Linked DNA regions of Oryzias latipes. The protein of the gene in region 2 purifies or fractionates together with the protein of the main gene of each other region. This does not show direct contact. Links are inferred from orthologs where the notes say so. Each region holds a gene or a part of one and is shown on either strand. Other genes may lie near its edges. The genes, in order: cops6 and btbd1.

What was found.
Region 1: the proteins of btbd1 (region 2) and cops6 purify together in Homo sapiens (affinity purification with mass spectrometry; 3 studies listed by BioGRID and IntAct, counting the BioPlex papers as one, with this or other methods). This does not show direct contact. The link is inferred for Oryzias latipes from reciprocal best matches to the Homo sapiens genes BTBD1 and COPS6.

What each region holds. Positions count from the first base shown.
Region 1 is NC_019868.2:6,641,196-6,653,307, forward strand, and holds the start of cops6 (COP9 signalosome complex subunit 6), read right to left. Parts: upstream 6,584-12,112; 5' UTR 6,545-6,583; coding exon 6,502-6,544; intron 5,125-6,501; coding exon 4,999-5,124; intron 4,594-4,998; coding exon 4,462-4,593; intron 3,983-4,461; coding exon 3,894-3,982; intron 3,757-3,893; coding exon 3,694-3,756; intron 3,615-3,693; coding exon 3,567-3,614; intron 3,489-3,566; coding exon 3,374-3,488; intron 1,578-3,373; coding exon 1,485-1,577; intron 1,327-1,484; coding exon 1,226-1,326; intron 1-1,225. Other genes in the region: fbxl12 (F-box/LRR-repeat protein 12), read left to right, coding at 6,851-6,951, 7,120-7,195, 7,591-8,637; aurkb (aurora kinase B), read left to right, coding at 10,437-10,442, 10,861-10,899, 11,963-12,044. UniProt on the Homo sapiens protein: Component of the COP9 signalosome complex (CSN), a complex involved in various cellular and developmental processes.
Region 2 is NC_019861.2:13,871,723-13,883,949, forward strand, and holds the start of btbd1 (BTB/POZ domain-containing protein 1), read right to left. Parts: upstream 5,388-12,227; 5' UTR 5,236-5,387; coding exon 4,823-5,235; intron 4,472-4,822; coding exon 4,315-4,471; intron 2,634-4,314; coding exon 2,528-2,633; intron 2,436-2,527; coding exon 2,238-2,435; intron 2,092-2,237; coding exon 1,899-2,091; intron 1,801-1,898; coding exon 1,713-1,800; intron 968-1,712; coding exon 821-967; intron 720-820; coding exon 561-719; 3' UTR 1-560. Other genes in the region: tm6sf1 (transmembrane 6 superfamily member 1), read left to right, coding at 6,098-6,189, 6,510-6,613, 6,772-6,869, 6,958-7,061, 7,141-7,223, 7,460-7,578, 7,885-7,989, 8,074-8,166 and 2 more; zrsr2 (U2 small nuclear ribonucleoprotein auxiliary factor 35 kDa subunit-related protein 2), read left to right, coding at 11,153-11,196, 11,403-11,482, 11,591-11,669, 11,751-11,859, 12,188-12,227.

The DNA.
Region 1 (12,112 bases), on a different chromosome or scaffold from region 2:
TCCAAATCTAATAACATCTAACATTAAAAATGAGAGGTGATAACCAATCGAGTAAGAGTGTATTAAGACAGATTTGTTTTTAGATCAAATATTGTTGGTAGAACTTCTATCATTACAATTGAAAATGTACATTTTCTAAAAACAAGTCAATGTTTGATCATCTTAGACTCATATTTTGTACAATTTAAACTTTAATCATTGCACACAAATTACTTCTGAATATTAAGAATCTTTCCATCCTATTTAAAATCTATTAGGATATATTTAGTTTACATTTGATAGTTGAATTAAACATCATGACACTTTGGGGGATTTTTTTTCTCTCGTCTTAGTAGTGTTTTATTTTATGAGCAAATTCTTTTATAGTGTTAAACACAAAAAAGCGTAACCCCTTAAGACCCAGGCCAATAGTTGAGGTAACCCTCTGAAGTCACAGGAACCCAGATAAGCAGAACCACTCTGGTAATTTCACCCGAAATGTGACGCCTACAAATTTGAACGCCACGTCTTAAGAGGTTAAAGCACTGAAGCTTCAATGCTTTGGGGGCAACGATTATAGAAACAGTTAAACAGTTTTTGTAATAAAAATCACCAAAAAAAAAAGTCAAGATTTCTGCCGGTTTTATGACAAGAGGCTTAAAAGACGGAAATACCACCAAAAACACTTTTTGTGGCAGAGGAACGTTAATAATAATAATAATAAAAATGTTTGAATATGTGAGAAATTTATTAGACCACATTTTTTGTTTTTTTTTAGTGATACAAATAGGAAGTCCATTAAATGAAAATCCTTTGTCAACCACTGATAAAATTTAGCATAAACTTGAAAGCGAAGAAAGGTAATTTTTTTAAAGCTGGAAATAGGTTCAGGTGTCAAGGGGTTAATTCTTAAAAGGAAAAAAGGTCAACTCTAATATTTATAATTTATGAGACCGAGATAAAATACTTGATTGGTTGTGAAAGGGAAGCATCTGAGCTTATGGACTAGAAAATACGTTTCTGTGGGATTCATGATCCTGAAAGTGCAGGAGATCCAGCATGTGGATCTCCTTCTAAAGAATGGTTAAGAAAATAAAAGCCTGTATCTAAAAAGGTCATAAAGAAGCAGCATTGCATCACAAACAAGAAAGCATTCTACCTTTTAGCAAAGACAGTTTAAACCTCAACAAACAAAACTTCTAAGGTAAATCTCAGTGGAATTCCTTTTTTTTTAACATGTTCTTACATCATAGAAGTCCGTTTTAAATTTGATGGTGCTGAGGACCGGCAGTCTGTGGCACAGGGCGTTTGCTTCTCGAAGGATCTCGTGGTTAAATGGCACCTCTCCTGTAACACAGCGGAGAGGTCATGTGACTGCCGCTGATGCTGCCGTCAAATGGCGGCTTGTTATTAGACAGGCGTGTTGGAACATCTCACTAAAGAACACCTGCTGCTCTTCACGCTCTTTGCCTTTAGCGCCCGCCTCATAAATAAAGCAGACTCACCTGCTTCCACGGCTTTCACGTACTCTAGAATGATCTTCACTCGGCTGTGGAGCATCTTGATTGCACTATGCTGAGCTATGAGGTGTTCAGCCACTGAGGAGGAGGAAGGACAAGTGTTAGTGTTAATGACCTGAAAGCACTTCCACAGGTCTGTCAGGGTCCATTTTCAGCAGCTTGCTACAGATGTGCATTCACCCAATTCATTTATTTCACAAAAGAAAAAGAAGCTAAACAAAATGACATTTAAAAGAATACAAAAAGAAAAAAATAGATTTTATTTGGAAGAAAATAAATCATTTTCCTCATTACAAGAAAGAAAGATCCACATCAAATATTTCCCTCTATCCTGGATCCCAGCAGTGACAGAAATGCTGCTTTGCATCTTATTATAAAAAGAGGAGGCTATGGCTCCAAACTGTCAGGTTGGATAGCTCCAATATTGCTCTTTGGGTTGGGGGTGTGAGGGGCTGCAAACTAGTGGGAGAGAGAGTGTAAACAGATGAGTGATGGGAGGTGAGGGCGGGTGCCATAACTCAGAGGCAAATTTCAAATGAACTGCAGCCGCCCTGCAGGAGAACGATAGAGGTTTTTGGTTGAAAACGCCACAATCATAATTAAGAGACCACAGGGAAAGCTTTGAAAATAGATCAGAAGATGATGGGAGGGGAGTTTCAAAAACAGCTTTGCACTTTGTGACATGTGCAGTGCAACGAAAGAACTTCCTGTTACGTAAACCCACAGGCTTCCATATTGGTCAAAGCTTCTACGGGTCTGTCCAAATCGGAGGGCTGCATCCTTCGTCGAGCGGGTGGGCCAGATGTGAACGGCTGAGAATTTGGACGAGTCTAGCCTTCAGATGATTCCAGCTGTTACATCGGCAAATAATCCAGTCTGAGATTTTAATGACGGTGTATGAAGATTATAAGACCATCAAAAAAGTAACACTGCTGCATCAGCAAAAGAAAGAGTTTCTGCTTGTAGTAGAAGAACATTGTGACAGGCGTTTGAATTGAACAGGCGTTTTCATTTTCATTGTGAAGCATATCTATCTATCTATCTATCTATCTATCTATCTATCTATCTATAACTTATCCAACTTAAATGAATTCAATTGGTAACAAGTAATTGAGTTAAATTTATTCAACCTAATTTCTTACGTCTATAAAACTCAATAATCGTTTATACAACTCAAATTGACATATTTAACTAACTAAATGTCATTTTACTCCAATTCAATTCAAGTTTTTTCATCTTAAATTATTGCACTTCTTGAACTCTCATATGTCTAAATTTGAGCCTGCAGATATTCTCATTTTTATAACAATAAAAATGAATGAAACAAAACAACAGAGAGCGGTAGTGAACGAGAAATTTCTTTTAAAATTGGGAAAAAGACGGCCGTGTTCGTTGGCCGCATTTGAAGGAGTCGTGTTTGGACAGCACTTGTCGCGGCGCTGTGACGTAAGAGGCCTTCAAACGCAGCCTTCCAATTTGGACACAGCCTCCGTCCTTCTGTGTCATTCTCTTTGTAAACAGGTGTTTCCTTTTAAAGTCGGAAGTGAAACTAAATTTCTATTTCCATTTTATCATCTTGTCTTTTGACATGTTTATCATTATAACCTTTTTTATTTTTAATTCAAATAAAGAGACAAAGTGCTTCAAAGAAGCTGGGCCGTGCCACGAGACTTTCCTCAGTGTCCAGTGTCCCAGTGTGCAGTAGCATCTATTGAGTAAATAACGAGAACATGCAGAGCAGTTTGGAACTTTGTGAGCACAGTCAATCAGACAAAAAGAGACCGGTGTGTCTCCATGACTGCTCATGAACCGGACTGTGCCATGACAAACATGAATGGAGTTGTGCGTCTGCTGCAGCCCCAACCCCCCCTCACCGGTCGAGTTCTCTCCGGTCCCGGTGGCCGTCATCCGAGCTACGTGGTCGACGCCGATTCTCTCTGCCTCCTCTGTGGCTAAAGTGTACGTCAGCTCAGCGAATAACATGGTGGCCTTAGCGAAGAAAGACGACGTTTCAATGAGGAGCCACAAAAAAACATAGTCAGAGCTGCGAAGAGGCGGAGACAATACCTCGCCACTGATGATGTCAATCACAGATTCATAAACGCTAACAGGAAGCTGTGGAGGAGCGGGACAAGCAGGTTAGAAAAGCTCTTCACACGCACACACGCCCCTCCATGACTGAAGAACAACTCACGTCGGTGTGTTTGGTCATCGGGTTGAGCTTGAGAAAGAGCGGGCTCTCAATGATCTCACACACCTGTCACAGAACAGACAAACGTTTAAAGAAGCATTGGTGAGAGAAGGTTCGACCCAAAAGTGGATCATTTCCAGCTCAGCATCACTAAGTCTGAACATTTTGCTGCAGTCGAGCATGAAGCGCCGGCGTTTCTGTACCTGTTTGTGGATGTGGATGTCAGACTGGTCAGGGGGCCCCCCTGTGGTGTACCAGCCCAGGAACTCCATGTCTTTGAAGACCTGTTTAACTGAAACAGCAGAATTCAACAATTTATTTGCCAAAAATCAAAAGAAAACAAAAAACAGACTTTTACAAATGTAAATGGTGATTAGATTACTTTATGTACTTTATGTGGAGAAAAAGAACAATCGGACATTTGTTTTGTAGTTCAGAATTAGGACTCACTCACATCTAAGAGACAAAGAAGGTTCTAGCTGTTTACAAAAGAATTAAGCCAATTTTTGACCCCAAAAAGTAAATAATTTGCTTTAGAAAAAATTAAAATCAAATATTAAAAAACATAAAAATGAAGTTTTATTTTGAGATTAACCGTTTGGAATGACATAACCTTCAATTTAATTCAGTTTATTTCAAAACTCACAACTGAATCTTTGACTATTTATTCTTTTAAATCCAGCAGGACTGTTTTAGCCTCATTCAGTCCACATTTTAGGACTGCTGGTCCAGAGTTTCAATAAAGAACACGGATTGAGAAACCCAGCTTACACTGCTCCTCCTTGGTGTAGTAGTACTCCTTATCGATGTGCACTTTGTCGTCTATGGTGTGAGACATTAGTTCAAAGGAGTTCATCACTTCTATGTTTCGACCCTCTTGTTTCCCGATCAGAGCGCCGATCACTAAACAAGGAAAACCCACGATCAACCAAAACAACACAAACATGCCTGAAAAACACACGTTCAAGAGCTCCGCTGCTTCAAGTAAGAATACTGCATTCATAGTGACATTACTGGATAAGATGATGAATTTTAGTCATGTTCTGAGTTCCTAGTTAACACTAAAAGATGTCTCTGTTTGAAAAAAAAAGTACAAATCAATCAAAACCACTGATTGTATGTGAGAATTGGAGTGCGTTAGTGTGACATCACCCATAGAAAATGGCTTATTTCTGGCTCCAAGCACATGAAATCAATTCATTTGCCTTTTTTTTTTGTGAAACAGACATGACCATGTTGGAGCCAGAAGACATCAGTAAACGTGATTGGTCAACGCGTGGAGCTACAGTTTAGCTTCATCACAGATACCCTGCATGGGTCGGCCCTCCTGAGAGCGGATGCGGATCCAGTGGTCAGATATGTTGAGGATGACCAGAGGGTGTAAGGCCACAGAAACACTCCCAGTGACCCCCGAGGCCATGACACTGGGGGTGGCTGCAGACACACAAACAGCAACAACTTCAACAAAACAGGAAATACAAGACACAAGGAACACAACGTAGATTTTTCACAATAAGATATAGTATGACATATCAAATAATTGGCTGTCGTGTTGATGAGACATTTACAAATAAAAAATAATCCTAAAACAATTCAAGAGAGGATAACACCTGCCTAAACATATTCATACAGGCCTGAAGATTGATCTTTAAACCTAAGCTGTTTACCTTTTAGTTTTATCTGTCATTTTTGTAGTTAATCAATTGATAAAGGAAAAAATTCATCGGATGTATGACAATGTCCAACACATCAGCAGCTGCTCATGTTTTATTTTACACAAAGATGCTCATCTTAAGCAGGTTGAGCACTTTTTCATCCTGTAGATGTCACAGACTGAATAAAATGGCTTCGGTCTGATGTATCTGAGGTTGCAGGGGTCTGCAACCTGAGGCTCCAGAGCCACATGCGGCTATAAAGACATTCAAAAAAATTGAACAAATACTTAATTAGTTTAACTAAGCAAATATTCTTATAGTCTACTGTCAAGTTGTTGCTTTGAGTCAAAGTTCTTAAAATATATAATTGCATTTACATGTATAGATTTTTATTTTTATTTGGATTTTAAACCAATGCACACATCTTTATGTTGATAGTAAAAGGATGAATGCTCACCTAAAATTAAATCTGTTGAAGCAGGAGGATCTTTTGACTTAGGGTGCATTTTATTTTGAAAGGAACGTGTATGTGCTGCTGTCTGAAGTAAAGAAGTTAAACTTGCTCTTTTTTAGTAAAATATAACACCTTTGTGATTCTATTATTGTCGACATGTAAAAGAAAGCTACCTGTTACAATAATGAATAAAAAGCCACTGAAGTAAACAAACAAAAAGTGTATTTTTCTAAATGTTTAGGCCAGACTTTGTGGCTCTCGTTGGGTTTTGATCTGTAAGAATCTGGACCAAGTGGCTCGTTTCCCGTTAAAGGTCTCAGCCCCCTACTCTAGATGAATGAATACAGTAGCATTTGGGAAACTATCAAGTTGTTTTCCTTCTTTAAACAGCGCTCGGTTAATCTGGATTTAGATTATATAGCATTTTAAGGATGGGTACATTGTTAAGTGACTGTATTTATAAACTCAGCTGCGCATTACTGAGTTAGATCAGAGAAAGCGACAGTAAATCCAGAATGATTCATCACTGACTGACCGTTAACCTGCTTATCATGTTAGCAAAGCTTTTGTAGCCAGAAGCTTTAGCGCCGCCAAATCTTTCCGGCTCACAAACCAGCAGAGACACAAAACACGCGGGGCCCTTGGTGCGCGCGTACATGTTAACGTCGGGCTCCAACGGTCTGATTTAAGACAAACACTTGCCTGCCCCGTCTACCTCCATTCCTCCACCATTGCTGGTCGCCATCTTGTCCGGTAGACTGCGCGTGCGCAGTGGACTGTTGACCTAGCGAACGATAGGTGGCAACATCACATATTTTCTGAACATTTATCAATAAGGCGCGCGGCAGAGCTGATGTCATAAACATTTTTAAAATTTAAATAACTACTTAGACGTAGACTGAGTATGTTCAGAGAAACCCAGGCCCGTTGCTTTGAACTGTTAAATGAACTGAACTGTTGCTAACCAGAAGCTGTTTCCTGGGGATTACTGATTAGAGCGCAACCCGTGTGCATCCGGAAATTAGTCCGTGTGGAAGGTTTTGTTTACAGAATGGATGAATTCAAAGGCTGCGATTTGGATTACTTCCCCGAAAACATCTTGATAGACGTGTTGTCGTTTTTGAGCGTCAGAGAGCTTGTTCGAGCTGGAAGGTATGAAAATGTGGCCCTGCTGAATGTGTTGGATTTTTGGTTCCCTGTTCTTTCTATACAATGCAGCAGCATGCACAGACAGACAGAGCCAGCTGGATGATCTCCCTTTGTTGTTGTTGTTGAGACTTCTGTCTGGCGAGTTTCTAATGGTTTCCACATTTTCTCCAGGGTTTGTAAGAGATGGAAACGGCTGGTTAAAGACCAAAGACTGTGGAGAACAGTAGATCTGACTGCTTGGAAAGGGGTAGGACTGTGGTTTCAGTTCCTGAATATTAAGTATTAATATTAATTCTTCTGTAATCGAATGGACACAGTAATAAACATGGATAAAAAATATGTGATGTTTGAAACAACCGTGCTAAGGCTTTCTTTTGTTAGTTTATGTCCAATTTTTTTAAACCTTCACTAAAAACAGTGACAAAGGTGCACTTTTTTTCTTGTATTATTATTTCTACTATAATTGGACACGTTATTTAAAATGTTGTTAATTGTCCTTTGTTAGGAAAGTAAGTCCCAAAAAAAAAATAGGCCTCCTTTTAGGTTTCTGATGTGCATGTGTTTGAGCTTATATCTCATTATTTATTTAATCAGTTTTCTCCTCGTTATTGTCACATGGTCTCTTCTTTTTTCTTACATCAGGTGACATCTCGCATCCTTTGGGTCTTGCTGCGTCAGTACTTTGGTTGTGGACTGAGGTGCCTTCGCCTGCGTGGCTTGCTGCTTTCTGCCCGGGGTGGAACCTTTCTCTCAGAGTCCTGGCTCAAAGCTTTGTCCACTAAATGCCCTCGCTTGAGTAAGCTATGCCTTCTACATGCAGACTTGAGAACCTTACCCAACTGCCACCTCTTGCCTCCTTCTCTACGTGTGCTGGAGCTCCGTGGTTGTGAGCTCCCTCAGGGCTTTTTTTGTCAGGCCAAGAGTTCCTCACCTGCTTTTCCTCAGGACAGAGCAGTGGCTACTTCCAGCGCTGGTGGTTCACAGCAAGGAAAAAATCCAAAAGTCAAAGGGCAGGCCTCGCCTTTAGGCATTAGTATTGAGAGTCTAGTTCTTAACAATGTGCCCTCTTTCACAGATCAGCACCTGCAGAGTCTGACATCATGGGAGAGGCTTTGTCGTTTAGAACTTCGCGACACATTTCGTATAACAGCAAATGGGCTTAGAAGCTGTGCAGCAAAAGATGGCCTTTCAGGTATGGAGGGCCTGTCCAAGCTCAAGTTTTTGGAGTTAGGTATTACAGCAAGGCAAGGCTACCAGTTGCAGATGGCCTCCCTTGGGCTGGGCGCGGGATGGCTTGGATTAGAGGAGCTGAGTCTCGGTGGTAAAGAGGTAGGGCCGGGTTTGCTCTGTGCCAGCCGCTTGAAAGATTTGAAGCGCCTGTGCTTGTGGGCCTGCACGCTCGGTGAGCTGCAGATCGTGCGCAGCTGCAGGATGCTCCGCGGACTCCGCCAGCTCCAGTTTGAAGATGTTGTCTTCCAGCCTCGGCAGAGTCCACCGGCAGAAGAGGAGGAAAGGAGCAACGAAGAACAGCAAGATGGAGAGGAACATTCAGAGATGGATAACAACGATGACAACAAGACACAAGACACGAATGATCCTTTTCCAAGCCTTAGGCGCTCATTGGCCGTCATGCTGCCTTCTTGTAGTCTGGTTTTTACCAACTGCTCTGTTCAAATAAACGCAGACTGATAGAGGTCTCAACTAATGCTCTGTTCTGACAACAAGTCCATGTAAATCTTTGGGAGACTGTTGTAGTTTAGTACAAACAGCAATCGGCACCCAATAATCTGAAAATCATCATGGTTAAAGCCCCACTGTCTGTGTGAATTGAATAAAATGGAATTCCACTTTGATGTTGGTGAGTTCACAAAGGCGCATCGAAGGGGGGAGTGCACCCCCCTGTCCATCCAAAAAGAGGGCAAAAAAAAAAAGATTTACTTACAGGTTAAATGGAGTTCATTGTGTAAAGCTCTTTTAAGCCTTATCCAAATTAGAAATAATTATTTCATATTTTTTGGAACTCTGGGTAAAAAAACATGTAAATAAGTGTTGCATTTTTTAAAATAGATGTTTAAATAGATTCTTTCCGAATTGACGTTCTCCAATTAACCAAAATTAAGGCTTCATGGTGTGTTGTGATAAAAGATGAAAGCTAACTTTTAAACTCATCAAGGTGAATTACACTGAGATTGTTCACTGACACAGGATTAGGCTAATTCATCACACTGATGGAAACATCAAAAACCTTTTGTCACCCCTTTTTGAAAAATGTGCCTCTTAGACTGACAGTTATTAAGAAGAGGTGTTGAATCATGAATGTTTTGAAGGTTTAAACAGAGTTTACTGTCACAAAAAGATGTATCATTCTATCTTTAAGCAGTTTCTTTTTTCAGGTGAATCAATGGGTTCTTTTTTTCAAAAAGAAGAAATACTGATAAGTGAGTCATTTCAAGGTGCATCCTTAGGTCGTGTTACAAACGTAGAAAGCAGAACTGTCACTGCTTGACTATCTGACATGCATGTGTTGGTTGCAAAGCCAAAAAACTAAAGCGAGCTGAAAAAGCAACAATGCACCTGTTTCCTGTTACTCAACTGCTTTTTACCAGGTTTTTACATTCACAAATCATACAATTCACTCACATGTAGCAGGTTGTGGTGATGCAAATGCACTGTGTACTGCTAAAACAAGTCTCTCTCAAGTTGCAATGTTTTTTTTTGTTTTTGTTTTTTACATTTGTGATAATAAATTTGAATGTGAACATAAATTTGACAGGTCTTCCTTCATTGCTATGCATTGTGCTGCATTTAAAGGTTAATCTTGTAGCAAAGAGATTCTTTAAAAACAATCAATAAAACTTTTTTCTTTTTACTTTAACCCTTCCACTAAGTATAAATGTATAACATTTATACACACATCTATATGCAGACGGCAAAATGGTTCTAAATATTTTCCAAGAAAAGGTTTCCCCCCCCCCCTATTTTGCAACAATTCAATCAAGTAAAACTAAAACCAGGCTACCTTTACTATTTGAATTAATTGTCAGTACTATCATTTTTGAATTTTACTGTTTTTTTTAACAATTGAACACAGCTAAAGCCGTTGTAAATAACATGTGGACAGACAAAAAGGTTCGTACGTTAGAGTATTCCATTAACTGCTGCTGCTGCATTGCAAATTTGTATCATGAGTAATAGACGAACATGATATATAATTATGATACTAATAATTAAAAAATGTTCCCACTGGTGCGCCTGTCCCAATGTGTCCATCCACACACTTCCGCTATAATCTGACCAATAGGAGCCCTTGATGCTCCCCCTGTTCTCGACCAATCGCTGTAAAAGGACCAATAGGAGTCCTCGACGCTCCGCCTATCGACCAATGATTTTGTCCCAACCAGGATTTTGAAACGTTGGCGGCCTAGGAAGTTAACAACGAGAGGAATAGTCTCCACCTTTCGTTGTCAATAGGAATATATTTCTTCGAAATGCAGGTAATGTATTGATGTTTTTTATTAAAGTGATATTTACACCTGTCACAGCAGAGTTAGCTGGTGAACGTCTGTTTACGCCGCACTGTTCTTCAAATGAAAAAGTCGACGAAGACCTTAGCTAACGTTAAGCTAGCGTTAGCTTTAGATGTAAGAAGAAAAAATAAGGCTGGGGTTAGTGGCAGAACATAGCCAAATAAAACATTTCCTTTAGAACTGTAAAATGTGCTTTTTGCTTATGTAAAGCATATTACGTCAAGTTTGCTAAAATGTGAAACTTATTTTCTGATCAATAGACCTCGTAACGTTTTCCAGTTACTATTGTCAGGTGCACTGACACTCACTGAGCAGCAGTGGGTATTATTATTGAATATCTGTGCTGTAATGCTAATGTATTTACCCTCAAATCACTTATTTGCAGAACAAGGAGAATCATGAACCCAAGGGCCCTCATAGACCGGTAAGTGATTAATAAAATAATAATAAAAAAGTAATCTATTGATGTTACTGCAGTGCATCTCGCTGGTTATTTTCTGAAGTTGTCACACTGAATTACTGGATAACTTTGTAAAAAAGAAAAAGTGCTCCTTGTAGTTACATCACCATAGTTGTACCTGAGTGGATTCCATTTAACCAGTACTTCTACTCTGCTACTATTGGCTGTATTTATTTAGTTGTTTCTTAATGCTGTTTATTTTAATATAGGGTTGCAGGCTAATAGAGAGATGATTGGCTTTGTCTAAACAAACACAAGGAACACATCAGATACTGTAACATACTGTTGACCAAAGCAGGAGTGATGTATGAAAAAAAAACACTCATTTTTTAAATGTGAGTGAAGGTTCTCATTTCTTACTGTGACGTCCGGGAGTTGTCATTTTGTTTCTTCAAGATGCCAGGACCCAACCTTAAAACTCATTTTAAACATTTAAAAATTCAATTACCTAAAATAAGGAAGGAGCTGGTTAAGCAGAAAACAAGCTTTTTCAAACAGCAGTTTTTCATTTGCTGCTGAATCAGATAAAATAAATTCTTAGAAGTGCAGCTTTAATAATAAATTATTTTATATATGTCCTTCATTATGAGAAAATTGCTACAAGAACATGTTAAAAGCATTAAAAACATGATTTTCATTGCAGCGGGTACTTCCAACATCTCGTTGCAAGATCAGGCACATGAACCGATCTATCCTCTTATCAGCTATTAGATAAAACGGCTTATAGACGGTGGTCACTTTATTCTGTTATTGAAGTACTATAGTACCGGTACTGTTTATTATCTGTTAATACCTGTAGTTGTTTTTTAATTATCTTGTTTTCTGAGCCACAGTAACAAGTCAATTTCCTGTCATGGGATCAATATCTCCAAAGCTGCTCTTACTTTCATACAATGTTTGTATACTCTACCCACCTATTTTATTTTTTAATCATGCGTAATTGGATTGACTATACAACAAAGTAGCCTAAAATGGATTATAACATTTTGAAGAAGTTGAATTTTGTGTTTGTTGTTGTCTTTTTCAGTTTGCAACCCCGAGCATGGTGACTGGACCTCAGCGTGTTTTGGCAAAGCCCCGAGCTGAACTGAATAAAAGCACAGTCACAGGTGATTTATCTGTTCATACAAGCATGATTTTTGTAGAAAAGTATCGTGAATGTTGAGTTTTTGTTTGG
Region 2 (12,227 bases):
TGCACATTTGCACCACTTAGTGACAGAAAAGAGGAATCACAACTTTTCCTTTTTGGCTTTCAGGTGTTTTTGACAAAAAAAAAAGCCCAAACCTTTGAGAAAGTTGAAGCAACAGTCTTTGACATACATTTGATTGACTGTTAACATTTTGTGCCAGTTTAATGTCACAACAGTCATGAATGTTTTACACAACGTAGACACGAAACAGCTGAAGAAAACTGTAAAATAAATGATCACAGTTCACAATAAAATTGTGTTTTAAAGTAAAGGTAGCAGCTCAAACAGACAAAATGACAGGTTGTACCTGTACGTGCAGGATAATTTGGGCAGTGTGGACTGCTGTGGGACACTGAAATAACAATGACAAGACACATTTTTCAGCTAACTTTCAAATAAAAGTAACTTTCATGCCCTTAAAGCTGTGATTTTTCCCACGAGCCCTCCTACATTCCAGATTATGTATCTACACCTGTGGTTTTTTTTTTTGCCATCAAATATACACACATTTAAATGTACAAGATTTTCAGGCACAAAGTCCATCTCAGCCAGACCACTTGGGTTCATGTGTAGTAAATGATCTCTGGTATCTGCCCGTCCTCCACTGACGTACCATTGTTGTTTCCAGGTGAGCTAAAAAAGAAAAATGTTGTCTTGGCCCCTGTAGCGGACTCCTGAGTAACTTTCTTCAACCCTTTCGTGCCATAATGTGAGTCTGGACCCTGAAGTGCAAAATTAGAAGCAGACTTTAAATTAGAAAAGGAACAAAAGACAGCATTAGTTTATAGTTGTCAGCTTCCACATGCGGCAGCTTTGGACCGACCTTCAAGGTCGCACATGCAGTGTAGTTGACACTGGGAAGGATTTCCACCGGCTCTTTAAACATCACCCGGAAGGTGTTTGCTGTGCCGTCACAGCTGAAGCCTGTGTCGTTTTGTCCCAGAGTAATGCGTTTGTCACTTTCTAGGATCTGAAACACAAGAAATACTCCATAAACAAACAGGGCATTTGTAACATCAAATTCAAAAGATTAAGCAGTTTTTATACTTTATCAGGTTTTTTGTTGTTTGATTAGATCAGAAAATATATATTCTTTTAAATTGCCAGTTAAACTTTAAATTGCTAAAAGTTTCTAAAATGAATCCAACTAATATATGTGTGGTTGTGTGAGTTTTGTGGCAAAATGCTAAAAACTGTAAGTACAAGGAGGAGAATTTCCTTCTGACTGTATGTTCTTGGCAAAACTCAATATAGCAAAAAAACAATGTTAAACTTAGATATTCATGATAGAAAAACAAACAAACGCTTCATATAGTTGACATAATGGACAACACTTAAACTAATGTCATATTTATAATTAAGTGTTTTCTTTTTAGATGATGTTCTCAAAAACCTGTATTTGTTTTTATATTTCCACACATACTTTTTATGTTCACAATATGCAGTTCTTTTCTGCATCTAAAACACGCTTCAATGAGTGAATTTGAATTGTTTTGTTGATGGGATTGATTGATTGATTGATTATACCATAAATCACAGAGGAACACAATGAAATGAGTTTGGGTTTGTGTTAAATCCTAACATTGAGTTTGTCTTTATGATGTTTCAACTATTCTGCTTAATAAAAAACACATTCGGCGCCGCTAAGTGTCTTCACTAGATCTTTCCATCAAAAACGTACAAATGCAATAAGATGCCTTAAGGCTATGCGTTACCTGTATGTTGACCTGATAGTCAGTGGGTCCATGTATAGAACCATATAAGCCAAAACCAACTATACAGATTCTTCTGTTTACATTGAATCTACAAAGAGATAACACAAGAAATAAATAGAATTAGAAAAACGTGATTTATTTCAGTTTTTTTATTTTATGACCCAAAAGTGGAGCTTCTGGTCTCACCTGATTCTGTCACTGGTGCCGCTGTACCCCCATCGACTCTCAACCTGCTGGAACCTATTAATGCTGCACTCTTCCCCCCTGAGGCAGCAGCGAGGCCTGTCAATGTAGTCGACCCGTGGTTTGGGGTTTACTGTAAAGTGTAAAAACAGATTTACCACCTCCCGATCGAACAATATTCCAGATTGGGCAGGCCCTGTTGCACAAAAAAGAATATCAAACTGGTTTCTGTGGATTGAGTTGTATGGACACATGAAGAACATGATGAATGGCTGATGAGGTCAGAAAAAATGCTGGAAAACAAACGAAAACCTGATGAACAGAGGACAGCTATGCACTTACCAGCAGCAAACTCTTCCACAGTCATGAGTGGGAAGCGGATGAGAGGGAGGGCTTTCCCCAGAACCCTCTGCTTGTTCTCTGATGTCAGGGGAAGCTGTTGCCTGTAACACTCTGCCTCTGCCCAGCGCACCACAGCTTCAAACAGACGGTTCTCCCTGATGCTCAGTGTGTCTCTCTCTAACACTGCACATAAGGTGTCTTCGCACACCAAAAGAATCAATTAATACATGTGAAAAAAGGATCTAAGAAGAGAAAACTTTTACTAATTAGAGGGGCAGAGACACGCTTACCCAGATCAATGTCTGTAAAGCCCTCAGCGTTAATTGCATCACCAGTGCTTTTGTCTATGGTGTCCAAGCAGAGACTGGCGAGTTGAGGCTCATCAAACAACCTTGCCTTTAAAAAAAAATAAATTTAAAAAAGCACACATTTTAAAAAGGCAAAAATGACAATAGAAAATCTAAATTAAAAACCATTTGAGGACATCCTTCTGCATCTAAAAAGACCAAATTTGTTGAACTGAAACTATCACCATCAACCCGCTGTTTTAACCAACTCCAATTAAAATCATGTTTTTGGTGATTTGAACATGTCCTTTTTCTGATGATAAAAGGATATAAGTTGCATTTCTGATTATTTCTTTATTCAAATCATTATGAATCAGGAGGAGATGAAGAAATGCTGTTGGAAAAAGCTTGCAGCGGTGACATAGGTACTACAAATGGCTCCGCTCCATTCTGATGCATCCACTTGCAGACAAATAGATCCATGTACGTCTTTGTTTTCCTCGTCTGAGCTGGAATCTGGCTCAAAACTGGACTTTTGCTGCACCAGTAATGTTATGCTGGAGTTGTAAGGGGCTGTCAGCTGGGAAGAGAGACCGTAAACACATGGATGACGGGAAATTGGGCCCCACAACTCAGAGGCGAATTTTCTAATGAACTCCTGCTGCTCTGCAGAAACCATGTTCTAAAAAAAAACTAAACAGGTTTTTTGATTCTGGCTAAAAATGCCATAAAGACCACTGGGAATATTAAAGATTGAATTAACCAAAAAGCCTCCTTCTTCTTATCTTGGGGATTTGCTTGGTCCAACATTTAAAAAGCAGTATGCCACCCAGCTGCAGCTTGAGATCATGGTTATCTGTTGCCTCCATTTGAGACCCTGACTGGTTTCCTCAGCCTCTGCTGTTAAAATTCACAGATCCTCCAGAATGGAATGGCATGTCTCATTTTCTATGACCACGTACTGCTTTATCAGGTAACTGCTCAAACAGAGTTGAAGAGACTTGTATTGTTCCAAATAGAAATATATGTTTTCTTGCCTGTCTTTCTAAATGTAGTCACTTTATTGCCAGACGTTGTAGTTTGCACCTCTCAGAACCAGAACCTGTGCTCAGTAGTCCAAGTCCAGTCACTCTGCTCCAATGCCCCTTTCCTGTATTTTCCATCATACTCTTTTCATATTCTTAGGTTGGATTTCTGAAATCCTATTTTAAAAACTCTGAAATATTCCTGCAGCTCTTTTGTGTTGATTTTCTACATTCATTTTGGGTAAAAAGCCTAAACTACAAAAATAATCAAATGTAGGAATGAGGCAAAAATATATTTTCGTCTCAGAAATATTTTACTTCACTATTTTTGGGCAAGTAGTGACACAGAAAATGCCAAAATGCTGCAGCAAAGACGAGTTTCTCATCAAGCATCAGTTCACTAAGATGAGTCTATGCGGCAGATAGAGAGCAGCAGGCAGCGTTAACCAAAAATAGATCAGCTGAGAGAAAAATCCTGTTTTGAGCACGGATAGATGGGAGATGGTCTGACTCGTGTTTTACAAGAAAAAATGGCTTCATCCAAGACTGGAACCATTGGAGTCAGAAAAACTAAATTCTTACTACTGTTTTTAAGATCTTGACATTATGTGTAACTTTCAAGAAACTACATTTAACAGCCAGCTACATTGAAGCACTTTTATAAACGTAAGGTTACATTTAAGGAAAGCGTAACGTTCCAGAGTTGAGAAGAAAAGCAGCTTTCAGGTCAGTGACTTCCAGCTGAGGCGGCTGGCACTTCCTTACCTGAGTCAGAAGCATGAATGCATTGTCAGCTCTTAGATGTTTGGTGAGGAACTCCACACAGCGACTCTCCAACGCAGGGACAGCGTACTTCTTTGCAGTATATAGAGTTGTCATCACAGTTTCTGGACCGATATGGACTTCATCAGAATACAGGAATCTGATCAAAGAAAGGAACAGTGAAGGTGATCCATGTATGCTGCACTGTAACCTAAACTTTTTAATTATCTTCCAGCATTAATGTCATGGTTGTAGTCTCAACTTTTTCATTCCTAGCTTTCACAGATTACAATTATGTGAGCTTCTGCAGCCCATTTTTTACTTTTGTTGTGATGCACGGCAACTACATGTGATTTATTGTTATTATTCTAATAATAAAAACATTTAAGTGTAGAAACAACAGCATAAATGTGAAAGTGGAGGATGCCAACCACGGATTCCAACATGTCACATGTTCTATCATGGCTGGAATCTAAATGAGCATCTTCACATCTTAAGGGGTCCCGTCTACCTGAGCAGGGCGAGGAAGGCTGCTGGCTCCACGTCGGGGAGTTCAATTTCAGCTGAAGTCGTGGCCATCCCGCCGTTGAACATAGCGTCAAAGACGGCACTGCCAGCGGCCAGGACGAACTTATGGGCCGGTATCCGCTGGGCCTGCCTGCCTTTGCCCACGATGAACCTGACGTCGCTGAGCAGCTCGTTGTTGAAGAGGAAGGCAAAGCGCTCCTTCAGGGAACTCTTCGTCGCCTGCCAGTTGTACATCGGTCCTCGGTGGAGGCCGGGGCCAGGCGGGGAGGAGGACGGGACCGGAGCAGAGGCTGGCATGTTGTTGCTGGACAGCGCGACTGCGGCTGCACACTGAATAGAGTTGGACGCAGCTTCATGATTTGACGCCATACCGCCTCCGCTCCCAGTCGCCATCATAAACAACGACTGTGTGAATATTCCGTTTCAAGGAAAACAACGCGTTACGGTGTTCAACGCGGTCTCCAAAAAGAAAGCGTTGTTCTTTATTTACGTGGTATCCATCCCGGCGAAGGCCTTAAACCCACCAGAGTAAATGCTTGTTAGCCCCGGAAATGACGTAACGCACTTCCTCTAAAAAGCCTGCCCTCTACACGCCCCGGTGATTTTATTCTTTTATTTTAGTTGTTTGTAGGCATCATTGGCTGTAAAAGTGACATTGTTTTTCTTAAAAGTTTTTTATCTTAAATTTTAAATTTAAGGATAACTTCTCCTATAAAGTCAACGGTAGCTATCCTATTTTAATCTCATATTTTACACCCAACTGTTTATAAAATGATAGTAATTCTCTTTACAATAATACATATGGGGTTAGTTTGAATAAGATGTTTGTGTATGTTAATTTCTAGACCACTTTGTGAAAAGTTTTTTTCCAATTTAATTTTTCATGGACCTTTAACAAAGGAACTGAATTTATTAATATTTTCCGGACAAATCTGAAAAAAATAAACTTTTTACTTTTAAAGGAATTTCAAGTTGGAATAGGAATTGAAACAGCTCGATATTCGGGCATGCGCTTTGACGCACAGATCAAGCGTAAATGCGTGAGTTAGAAGAGGACTGAAGCGGGGATGACAGCGCGCGTGCAGGTTGGAGCAGCAGAAGCGCTAGTTCGCAGTTATTTGCTTTCCTAGATAATCCATGACTTCTTAGAAACTGGAATGAGATGGTTCCTGCATCTGAAAAGCTTTAAAGCATCAGTTATTGTGTAATAATTATATATACATACAAAACAAAACAAAAAAAAAACCTCCAAGCAGCAATGAGCGCGTCTTTAGGGACCGGAGTATTTGTTTTGTCCTTAACATCCATTCCTATTTGCTATTTATTCAACTCTCTTCTTTCAAACAGCAGGTGAGTGACAACATGTTTTTATTGTTTTTTAACCCCTAATGTAACCTCTTGACTTTATCACCATACAAGTTTCCCAACCAGCAGAAATAGAAATATTGCATTATTATTATTATTATTATTATTATTATTATTATTATTATTATTATTATTATTATTATTATTATTATTATTATTATTATTATTATTATTATTATTATCATCATCATCATCATCATCATCATTATTATTATTATTATTATTATTATTATTATTATTATTATTATTATTATTATTATTATTATTATTATTATTATTATTATTTTGTTTTTCATTGCATTCAGTGCTGAAGCTTTCTTCTTTGCTGGGTGCACATCAGTCCCCTCCCTGTTGATTTCAGCCCGTTTCATGCTAAAGAAGAAGGCACCAGAGGACCCTCTATTCTACTGTATATATGATTTCTCACATACAATCACTTTTTTATTTGAATGTAAAATGTTTACATTTGCATATTTATAATAAACTTACATTTGAGCAGATAGCTGTAAAGTGTTCGCAGCAGTTTTTCACCCACTGAAATGAAGTGATAACCTTGCGTCTGTGCAGTGTATGCAGTGTACGCCTTCCTCAGCGTGGTGAATCTGATCATTGCATTGGAGCAAGACAACATCATTGATGGATTTGTAACTTTTTACCTCAAAGAGGCAAGTGTTTGCGCTGGCAGCCTGTTACCCCTCTCCACATACACACACCCTCACATATTTCTCTGATGGATTCACTCCCCTGTTTCAGGCAGACCCACATATTAACACAGCACACGGTCACGTGGTCTCCTATTGGGATGGCTCAGCTCATTATCTCATGTATCTGCTCATGATTGCTGCTATAACTTGGGGGTATGAGATGCACCAGCTTGTATGTTTGAACCATAATGTGCTCATCTGGATAACTGCAGTGTATATGTGATCTTCACAGGGATAGTTACAGAGTAATTGGACTGTACTGGGTTGGCTCTTTTCTCATGCAGACCATAGTCTACATTCTTGGAAATGCTGTGGGTAAGTGCACTAAAAATAATGGGATGCTTATACACAGCTTGAATAGGTTGTCCAACTTGTCTCTCAGCATTTACTTTATCTTAGAAAACGATGACATTGCATACTTAAAAAGAAAAATTAAAGTGAACCCTAGAGCTGAGAGAGAGAAATAATGTTTCATATAAAGAAAAACGTTGACACATTCATACACACCTTTCATCCCCAGTTAATTGAAGTTATTTCTGTGTTTCTTCTAGGTAAATATGGGACCCAAGTTGGGTTTTTCTTCATTCCCCAAATTCTTTATATCTTTGTGTCAGTGTGGGCTTGCTTCCGCGTCTTCAGTCAACCCTCCGCACGAGATACTCAGTCGACAGTATGTAAACTCCTATGTACTGAGCAACTTACATGTAAAGGAACAGATATTTGGGGCTTTTTTTCAATCAAGGAAATAATAAATGAATAGCCCTCATCAACACTTTGTTATATTAATCAAACCCATAACTTCAATATGCAAGTGAATACAGCTACAATTAATAAAAGTTATATATGAAATACACCAAGACCGTTTAGTTTTTCCCTGCAGATGTTTATTTCTTTTTATAACTGCCTCACAGTTGCTGAAAGACTGTTTAATGAAAGAAGATATGTTGTAAATATTGTTGCTTTTGCCATTTTTCAGGATATTCTAAATACTGTGAGGAAAAACTTGCTACACAGACCCCTGGATTTGGTGTTTATCATCTGCCTTCTTCTTGCGTTTATGTTCTGTGTCTTCAGAGGCCTGGTAAGGAGCTTAAGACGATCAACATTCATTCAGACATTTGCAGATCTATTTCGTTTAAAATAAAATAAAAACTCTGTGTTCAAGATTGCTCTTGACTGGTCTTGCAAATGGTGTCACGACTACACACAACAGTATGAACCTTACCTTAAAGATCCCTCTGCCTATCCCAAAGTTCAGGTAACTAATTGATATTTTTCATACAAAAAAAGAAAAGTATCTCAACTCTGTCATTTGAAGCTTTTAACCCACTTTTTTTTGTCAGATGCTGGTGAGCATGCTGTATTCTGGACCATACTATATAATAGCTTTATATGGGCTGTTAGTCCCTGGATGTGAGTGGATGCCAGACCTGTCTCTTGTACACTCAGGAGCACTGGCACAGGTACGTGTTTCTGTGTTTGACTACTTTAAACAAATGAAGTAGATAACAGAATTGGTCATTGTTTATCTACAGAATGTCCCATTAGATGATGCTTAAGAACAGCCATTCTTCTTTTCACAAGCTTCCTATTCTCTAGAAACGGAAAGGGGCTCTCTTTCATCTGCCTTGCCACTTCATGGTTGTGCATGTGTTGATGTAAAGTGTCCCAGAAGACTCCAGACATCTAGTTATGACTAAAAATGGAAGACCTGAACACTGGCAGGAGAGGGAACAGTGAAAGAGCCAATCCTAGCTTCAACTACACAAAGCAGCTATTGTGTTTGGCTGCAGGCTGGCATGTCACTCATCAGTAGGACTAATGACAGAAGCTAACTTGGGACTATGAGGAATGGTGGCATTCATTTGAATGTCAGCTGTTCGGCCTAACTATAGAGAGAACAGCTGAGGCTCTGGCAGCAGTAACGGACAGGAAATAAGGCAGTTTTTTTGTGAAACAGATTTGAAAAACATGCATGAACTCCTAATATTTCCACCTTCAATGCACCCTTTAAAACAAGTAACTTAAAATGATAAACTAATGCCTTCCATAAAATGATGTTCCTAAAAATAGTGAATTTTAGTATAATCAAACTTCCCAAGAGTTATCATTTTTTAAGAGTGTCAATCAATCAATTAATCAATCAATCAATCAGTCAGTCAGTCAGTTTGTTTGTAGAACACTTATAAAAGCAGAAGTAATCAAATTGCTGAACATAAAGTCAAATATCACTAAAATTACTAAAAAATAAAATATAATGAAAGAGACAATAACAATGAAACAATAAAAGCAATTAAGCAAAAAAATGCAATAAAAAAAAAAGGTTAATAATATTTTTAGTAGGGAAGTCGCGAACGGCCAACCTTGCTTTTTTTGCCTGTTTTTCTTTTGTGATAGCGACATCTTCATCTCATTTTATCACGGGAAAATTAACCAGACAGTAGATATCACAAGAAAACAAGTTTTTTCTCGTGACAATGAGATAGTAGATGTCGGTATCACAAGATATCAAATTTGTTTTGTCATGATAACAACGAATATACTTTTTTATTTTTCTATAATACGCAGCAAAACAAAGCACGTTGTGAAGAATGGATCAATTTGTAATTGATTATTTTAATCACAGTCTAACTCAGGCAGAGATTGTGCTTACTTTGAGGGGTTTGCGTTAAATTGATGCAAAAACCCTTGCATCCCTTTTCTTACAATATTTTTTAAATATTTTTTGTTAAGAAGAAATCGCCACACATCATAATGACATTTTGTTTAAAGACATTTCTTAACAGTGATTTCAGTTCAAGACAATATTGTGTTCGTTGATTATTGTCTGATTTTCTTTGTTCTTTTTCAGGCCCAGTTTTCTTACATTGGTGCATCTCTTCACACTCGGACTCCGTTCTCATACAGAGTGCCTGTTAGCAGCCAGCTTGTTTTCCTGCTGGTCAATTTATTGTACACTCTGGTGCCTCAAGCTCTTTGCTACCGGTGTTGCACCCAGCCAGAGTTCTTCCTCAGGCCGACAGCAGAAAAGAAAGAAGATTAAATAGAAAAACAGGGGGGCTAATAATATCAAAGATGCCTTACAAAAGTTTGGCTCAACTGTGTAAGAGGGGCTGGAAAAAATAAAAATAAAATTGTTTTTATGCTTCCCATATTGGGTCTTTAGGAAGTAAATAAGCTAAAACACATTTGTTTAGGCTTTTTTTTGTTTGAATTGTAATTTTTTGCTTTGTCTTTCTGATACATAAAGATAAAATCGTATCTGTGTCAATCTGCTTATTAATATCCAATGAAAGATGGTAAGAATACATGAGTAAAGTAAGTAAATATTTATTTCTATAGCAACTTTCACAAAAAAGAATCACAAATTGCTTCACAACCCCCCCCCCCCCCCCAATTAACTACAACATCTGACACGTATCACAGACTTAACATAGTAAAAGACAATAAAAACAAATTAAAACAATAAAAGACAAAATTAGATCAGCTAAAAGCTAACTAAAAACTAAGAGGCTGCCAGTACGCGCCTCTGGCCATCACCAGGAAATGTACATGCATTCACACACCAGTGGGGCCACGCTGGAGGCAGAGAGGAGGTGTCTTGCCCAAAGACACAGCGACACTTGGCTGGGGTGAGCGGGGATCAAACTGCCAACCCTTCAAACTTTGGCTCACCTGCTTAACCACCTGAGCCACTGCATCCCCAAAGTTAATATAAAAATAAAGTTTTCTTGTAAATAAGACACGTTAATAATAGTCTACTCTTTATTCAACCATATTTTTCATTCCCCTCAGACTTCTATTCTCTTTATGTGTTAATTTTGTCAATTAAAATGAGACATGTCTATTTATTTAAATTATCCACTGGGAATATGTGTGTGTAATTACAATACTGAAATTATGATTTAAAGAATCACTTGAAAGTCTTTGAAAAAAAGTGTGTTGCTGTGATTCATTCACACCATTGTTAGGAACCAAAGAAGAAGAAGACACTTCAAAAACGGAAGTACTTCCCTTCGACTTCCTGTTTTCAGCATAGAAGCTCTTTATTTAGCTAACTCTTTTTTTTCCGTTCTATTTTAAACAAACTACTGATTTCTTCTGAAACCCGTATCTGTCTCACTCTGCAAAATAAACAAAGACATACTGGATAAAAGAGTTTAGCCAAAAAATATAATAAAATTGACCGGTGTGTAAACTTCAAATGAGCTCAATAGTTAGCATACTAGCTATCGCTCGTTGAGATGGCAGCCTCCATTCCTGGTCCAATTTCTGCTCCAATTTTAAGGTTAGTAACATCTGGCGATTTTACGAATATACATCATTTTATTAGTATATAGTAGTATTTTCACTCGTTGATTGTAATCAACACAACTAAAGTTGTTGGCTAAGAGGATAAGTTATTCATTCATTCAGACTTGTCGTCATCTTTCGTGTTGTATTGAAAATGTACTGCAATGCGTTTCTGAAAGGCTTTTGTATTCTTCGCTACAGTCAGAAGCAACGCAAGGCTGCTCAGCGCAAAGAGAGGAGACGGAGGAAACGTCAAGCTGTTGCCCAAGCCAGAGAGTCCGGTAAGGGGATAGCTGTTCAGTGCTTTTGGGTTTGTTCAGGAAGTCACGTGGGGGGATTTTACCTGTATTGCCCCCCACCCTTACACATAATGATTTGTTTTATTACAGATGTCCAGGGTGAAGCTGAAGAAGAGTGTACAGTTGATGAGGAAAATGGGGAGGATACTGGCTTAACTGAGGAAGAAAGGTTTGTAGCTGACCTACAGTTACACCATCTGTGACCGAGAACATCTTCATCACTTGATTGTTAATGTGCTCTGTTTTATAGACTACAGTTGCATAAGGAATGGCTGGAAAGAGAGAGGCTGGCCCAGGAGGAGTTTAGGTTAAGGGTGGAGAGGGAAGAAACTGCACGCAAAAAAAAGGAAGAAGAAGAGGTCATTTATTTTCTATTCTTACTGATGTTTTAGGTACCATAATAGTAATAATGCACTGATAGAGCTCGCTGGCTTTGAACTAAGTGACCATTTAGTTCCAACAAAATGTTTTACATTCATTTGCCCACACATAGATTAGGAGACCAGATTTGTGGTTTATTGATTTTTAAAATAGGATGTTTAAAAATTACAAATCCATTGAAAACATTTCTTCAGGTTGTTAGGGTGATGCACTTTTCTCACACGCACTTCTATGGATGCTTAACAAATCCCTTTGTTTGAAAGTGTCATTCCAAATGAACCCGTGTGTCCTCGTGTTCGTGTACAGCGGATGATAAAGGAGGAATGGGAGGCCCAGCAGAAGAGAG